Linked DNA regions of Mus musculus: region 2 is reported to be linked to region 1. Evidence: microRNA targets listed by miRTarBase, many of them from high-throughput screens and not tested one by one. Region 1 holds a microRNA gene; the other region holds the end of a gene's coding sequence.

What was found. Region 1 holds the annotated microRNA mmu-let-7c-5p (UGAGGUAGUAGGUUGUAUGGUU, at 1,215-1,236, opposite strand). A microRNA usually pairs through its seed, bases 2 to 8, with sites in the 3' UTR of a target mRNA and lowers its output. Matches are read on the target gene's strand: a 7mer-m8 pairs with bases 2 to 8, a 7mer-A1 pairs with bases 2 to 7 and ends in A, and an 8mer does both.
Region 2: the mRNA of Gnl3l is a reported target of mmu-let-7c-5p. Seed matches in the 3' UTR shown: 7mer-m8 at 2,437-2,443.

Annotation. Positions count from the first base shown.
Region 1 is chr16:77,597,494-77,600,907 of GRCm38, reverse strand. Mirlet7c-1 (microRNA let7c-1) reads right to left here and starts at 1,251; the gene lies at 1,158-1,251. It overlaps Mir99a (microRNA 99a), which reads right to left and starts at 1,972; the gene lies at 1,908-1,972.
Region 2 is chrX:150,983,565-150,986,978 of GRCm38, reverse strand. Gnl3l (guanine nucleotide binding protein-like 3 (nucleolar)-like) reads left to right here. Exons shown (of 16, transcript NM_198110.2): 16 at 793-3,414. The coding sequence ends at 875. Among named protein-coding and RNA genes, the nearest start is that of Gnl3l, 32 kb to the left of the region's middle.

The sequences.
Region 1 (3,414 bases):
TTGGAACACTGGAACACACTAACATGGACTGCAAAGAAAAAAACTGTTCTAGAAAGTCTCATTTACTTTTATTACGTGCTAAGATAATATGCCTTTCCTTTAAATAAAAATGTTTCCAAATTTTAAAATTGCATTTTACATCCTTTTGTAATCATTATATTTCATGACCTGTTTGTGGAGCTCACAACATAAAAAAAAAAATCAGTTATTTGAAAAATAAAGATTATAGACGAGAAGAAAACCACATAAAATGTAAAAATCCGAGTTTTAAAATTATTGGAGACTTTTAAAGCAACCTATAGTTGAAATTGCTATTAAAAAGAAAAACACATTATCTGGAAAAAAGATATGTAAATGGTTAACATAGATATGCATTATTTAAAACTAGAGACTATGCTGAAGTAAGCAGTAACTTCATTCTACTCTTTACTCCAGAGAGAAAGTATTCCCAAATTTCAAATTGTATATATAGAATAAATCAAAACAGTAAAAAAAATCAATATTTTACTGACTCAGAAAGAGTCTGGAACTTAAGGTTATGAAAATTTAATTGGGTCAATAAAGGAATTTCAAATTTAAAAAATCTTAACAGAGTGAAATCTTATAGCTCATTTATTGATCCTGTAAAAATTTACTGTTTAAGATGTATAAGTACTAAAAGAATACAATAAAAATAAGACGTGTACTTTGCCCTCAAGGGGCTTACAGTCTAGTGTGGAAAATATAAGTAAACATATCTATAGGTATAACATAAGATAGAAAGTGATGGGTCATGAGAAAACTCAGACAATATATGATGAAATTTATTAACATTTAAACATCTTTCTGTAGTGTCTAAGTATGAAATTAAAAAGGACCAATAATCTATTTGAAAATGCCAAATTTTGTGATTCCATTGATGAAAGAAACCAAAGTTTCAATATTAATGCAACTTAATTCACTACCCATTTGTTCTTTAGACTGGTAAACACAAAATAACAGCCCGTGAGAAATAGCGTTGTGTCATTGCTTACAAGTAGACACAAGCAGAATCCTAACCATCAGGTCTGGAATGATCAGGTAATGCATTAAGGCCTCATGGACTCATGACACATTACTTTCTTGAACAGAAATTGGCTCAGTCAGATTAAAGAGATGGAGAATTCCTCGATGGCTCAAGTGTGCTCCAAGGAAAGCTAGAAGGTTGTACAGTTAACTCCCAGGGTGTAACTCTAAACCATACAACCTACTACCTCAACCCGGATGCACACAGCTTCCAATGTTTCTTCAAACTCCTTATCATATCTTCAGTCCGCTCCTCCAAATATGGCGGCCAAACACCTAAGGGCTTGGCAAGGTTGTAGATAGAATATTCTAGCAGTTTACAAATCAACTTCAGTTGTAGCTTACAGGACTACCCTAATCTGGTGAGTTTACAGTATAGGTCACATGAAGTGTCTTCTAACATCTCCTTGACCACACTTCCATTAGCAGCGAGCAAATTTAAAAGTAGAATAATGCCTTGATTTTGAAGAGAAACTGGCTCAACTGTAACATAATAATCTAGTTATAGACTTTACTATGTTGTTGAAATAGATAAGACACATTAACCATCAAGAAAAAGTGTGCCAAAGTTTCATGACAACAGCTATGCAGAGTTTGCTCAAAGCCAGCTATTTAAAAACACCAACCTTTTGAAAGCAGTTTATTGCACTTGTATTTAGCCTTGAATGGCTCTGCTACAAATCCTTCCAGAAAGTCAACAATTAAAACTTGCCTTGTAAGACATGAGAGGATTAAAAGATCCATGAAGAACAATGGAAATGCTATTGTTCCGAGGTTGTGTAGAGGACTGGAGTGTGAGCAGGAGTGTATTGAGATGTGAGTGAGCAACACTTACATAGTGCTTTGTCAGATCACCACACTGCCACAGACCCATAGAAACGAGCTTGCGCGGTCCACTTCACCACAAGATCGGATCTACGGGTTTATGTCAATGGGCATCGTCTCACAGGGACCTTTTACTAACGTAGCATTTGCTCTGAATATCTAACAGAAGAAGTAGGGGATAAAAATAAAATTAATATCTTAGTGTAAATATTTTAAAGGCTGGACTCTCAGAATGCATATTCCCAGTAAAGGTCTTCAGAAATACACTGACTTAAATATAGGGTTACAAGCATGAGGATTAAAAAGTAGTTTTCAAATCCATCCTTCCTTCCTTCCTTCCTTCCTTCCTTCCTTCCTTCCTTCCTTCCTTCCTCTCTCTCTCCCTTTCTTCCTTCCTTCCTTCCTCTCTCTCTCCCTTTCTTCCTTCCTTCCTTCTTTTCTTTCTTTTTTTTCTTCCTTTCTTCCTTTTTCTTTTCTTTCTTTCTTTCTTTCTTTCTTTCTTTCTTTCTTTCTTCTCTCCTTCCTTCCTTCTTTCCTTTTCTTTCTTTCTTTCTTTCTTTCTTTCTTTCTTTCTTTCTTTCTTTCTTTCTTTCTCCCTCCCTTTCTTCTTTTCTTACTTCTCTCTTTTCTTCTTGATTTTTTCTTTTTTAAAGATTGCTTTTGTTTTAAACTGTGAATATTTTAACGTTGTTGTTAAAATGTCCTAATTGAGAACCTAATATATGTACATATGAATTATACTGTTGTGAGGCACAGATATAGTATGATAAGTCTACAACTAAAAAGGAAGTTATTAAACTGTATATGCACTAGAGTGACTGTATTTATTCACATAAAACTCAGTTAATGATTTTTGAGATTTAGTCACATTATAGCTTTTTATAAACAAATGAGGTCTTGTTGACTAGGTAAAGAACACAAAACCCACAAATTCTAGATGTACAGACATGTGCCTACAGTGGGGATGAAATTAAACTTTTACAGCAGTGAGGAAAAGATATGGTATCAAAAAACCCTAAAATCAATGACATGATCGGTGTTATTCCTGCTATTCTGGAATATTTGTAGTCGCTTATATCACACCAAGGAGCATACATTCCCTTTCAACAAAACACATTTAAATCTATTTCCCAAGAACTATATCCTTTCAACAAAATACACAGCTACATATAATTCCTCTGTTCAACAGGTTGAAATGAAATAAATGATTCTTAATTCTGTCAGCTACTACACTGTAAGAAAGCAAGCCAGTAAGCACACATGAAGCCAGTTACATGTACATTTTTAGGATTCTAAGCTCATCTGAAGCAAAATTATAAGTTGTACAATCGTTAATCATTGCACTCATATCTAAAATGATTTAGCTTTTCTTAATTATATCTTCATTGTGAAAAATAATACTGCATAGTAATTACTTCATGATTTGGCATGTTTTGAAATAAATAAAAATAGAATGTATTTTCTCCAGTTTAATACAGATAATTTGGCCTACACAAATTTTCACCATTATTTATTTTCAAATCATTCTCCTACTTATTAAAACTG
Region 2 (3,414 bases), not on the chromosome of region 1:
ATTTTTTAAAGAAAGGGTCTCACTATGTAGCCTATGTATAAAATGTATATATGCATACATATATACACTATGTATAAAAATGTAAGTAGTGTTGATTGACTCTGTCATCTTTTTTTTTTTTTTTTTTTGCTACGCCATATTTTATAGCTATCTTGTTCTGGCTCTACAGTGAGTCCTGGGAATCCAAGGGCGACTTGCCCTTAAACTCCAAGTCTTGTTAGAGAGTATAGAGGAGACAAAACAAACAGTGGCAGTGTAGAACAGTCACCGTGAGGTCACACACACAATAAGCACTTCTAGGAAGCTTAGCCCAGCTTGGAGATAGGGCTGATCAGAAGAGGGAGAAGTCTGGAGAAGTCTCAGGGAACCCCGAGGAACAAGTGTATCTTGAGGATGAGACTGTGAGTGGTAAGCACTCAAGTTCAAAGCTAGTACTAGTGTGCACTCCATTGCTATGAGTGATTGTTTGGGGGTGGGTAGGGGTAATGGAGGAATGCTAAGTTCACACAATAGAAGGAAATTATTATTTTAGTACTCAGAAGACACAAAAATACTTGGAATCCTTCGAGTCTGAAATCATGAGAAAGAAACTATGCTGGGGTGATCACTTATAGGTGAATGGATCTCCTTGTGAGGTTGACAGGTGTAATGGCCTGTTTTGTTGAATGATTAGACGTGTAACTGAGCCGATTTGGAGGTTGGTATGGGCCAAGTTAGTGATTTTATTTACGTGTGGCAGGCCTGTTGGCTAAGGCAGCTACCCAGAGATTGCCTGTATTTCTCCCTCTACAGATAAAATCGCCACTAAGTTGTCTGACTCCATGATGTCCATGCTTGACCTCTCTGGCAACTCCGATGACTGTGCAGGTGACTGAGCAGCTGACCTTCCCCCTCATACTGCAAGTACTGCTTCCCGTGCGATGGGAGAGTCCAGATGCCTTTCCATTCTCCCTGATGTACTTAATAGGAGAACACCTCCATGTCATGTATCTTCTGCTGCCGTGCCCTCCATTCTTATCAAAGGTCTGGAGCTGCCAAACCCTACTACCCTCTACTTAATCCTTCCTGTCTTTGAAAATGACCTTGTGTTTGTTTTGTGGTGCCAGGGATTGAACATAATAGGTTCTCACAAATGTTAGACAACCATTCTATTACCAAGCTGTAGTATTACCATCATTACCATCCATCATTATCATTGGGGAGTCTGCTTACTCAACCTCCCAAGTACTGGGATTACAGGCTTTTGCCACCATTCCCAGCTCCCACTGTGTTTTCTAAGGTAAATAAAATCAGCAGACTCTTGGCATGGTGGCAACATATCTATAACCCTGACACTTGGGAGACTGGAGCTAGGAGGACTGTAAGTTATGGGCCAGCCTGAACTATCTGGCAAGACCCTTTCTCAACAAAACAGCCCAAAACAAATAAGCAGAGTCCAGCTGGGCATACACCTTTAATCCTAGCACTCTGGAGGCAGAGGCAGATGAATCTCGTGAGTTTCAGGCCAGCCTGGTCTACCGAGCAAGTTCCAGGATAGCCAGGGCTGCATAGAGAAACTCCGTCTCGAAAAGTGAACAATAAAACAACAAAAAGAATTTGTAATTATTTAAAAAGCAAATAAGCAGAGTCCAAGTGCTGACAATGTACCTTGGACTCTAAATTCCTGTGTCGTACCCTGTGAGTTAGGCTGATAAGGGTTAACCTTTTGGACAGGTAAATGTCCTAAAGGCTAGACTGCTGAGAAACCTGGTAGCAGTGGCGGGGGAGGTGGCGGTTGTCCCTGGATGGGTGATCCTTTTCATTTTTATCACCCTACAAGATCTCAGTGCCAAGGCTCTTGCCTGTGTATTTTCCAAATCAATAGCTAGCTCCTCATCTGGGTAGTGTAGGAGTAGAGAAGGATAGTGTGAGTCTCCTGTCTCTGGAAGTGTCTGGGGATAGTGTAGAGGATGACGATTCTAGAAAGGGTATACCTATCATAGTAAGTTGGAAAGCCATTGGCTGCAGGATGTTCAGGAAATGTAGACCGTACCTGTTTTCTGGACGGTTAGGGGCTGAGCACAAACTACTAAACAATGAGAAACAGTTACCACCTTTAACTTTCACTATATCCGTATCAGGAAGGGGTAAGGCTCAGAAAGCCGACAGAATGTGCTCATGTCAACAGTAAGTGGTGGTGTGCTAGATGTCAAACTTGAGTCTAATTTAAACCTTATGCTAGCCTTTTGGTTTGCATTATTTTGCCTTTTCAACAAGGGCACACCACTCTGGTATTTTCTGTTGTCATATATTTAAAATATATTTTCTCTACTCTGTTTTTTATTTTTATTTATTTATTTATTTTTTGGGTTTTTCGAGACAGGGTTTCTCTGTATAGTCTTGGCTGTCCTGGAACTCACTTTGTAGACCAGGCTGGCCTCGAACTCAGAAATCCGCCTACCTCTGCCTCCCAAGTGCTGGGATTAAAGGCGTGCGCCACCACCGCCCGGCTCTGTTTTTTAAAAAATGGTAGTATTTATTGAAAAACTATGCTTTCTAAGTCTCTTTAAATGATGTCCAACTTAATTCACTGATCTCATCTTAAGTTTTGCTAGACAATAATATATTAGAAATAAAAGTATCTAGATTCTTGGGAACATAATCATGTCAAAATAAAATAGAACTAAAACCAGGTGGGTGGCTCACACCAGTGCTCCAAGCACTAAGAATGCTGAAGCAGGAAGATGTCTGAAGCTGAGTCCAGCCTGGGCTGCAGAGTAAGAGGCAGTCTCAGGGCGAAACAAAATAATGTGGGACTTTAGATATTCTAACTCTAATGTATCTCAAGGTTGGGGGTAGCATGCGCACGCACGCACAGAGAGAGAGTTTCCCCCATATAACCCAGTGTGGTCCTGAACTTTTTAGGCCCCCCCCCCATTAGCTTTCCAAGTGCTGGGATTGCAGGTGTTTGCTTTCATGCCTGGATATTTCTTTGTTCTTAAAACAATTTCTTGGGTCTTTACTCTCCCCTTAAAAATCATTTTTATACAATAAATCTCATCCTTCATGGTTCTATGGTTCTGTAAGTTTAGACACCTTTTTTTTTTTTTTTTTTTTCCGAGACAGGGTTTCTCTGTGTAATCCTGGCTGTCCTGGAACTCACCAGGCTGGCCTCGAACTCAGAAATCCGCCTGCCTCTGCCTCCCAAGTGCTGGGATTAAAGGCGTGCGCCACCACGCCCGGTTATTTAGACACCTTTTAACAGGGGTGGCCTGCCATCATAATCAAGATAAGAGAATTTTGTGGCATTTCCCCAAACTTATTGTGTCCTCTTGTAGTATAGTCCTGCCCCCATCCTCAAATCCTAGCAGGCACAGACCTCTTTCCTGTTCCTTAATATAAGTGTCGTAAGTCACACGGGGGCTTATTTTATGG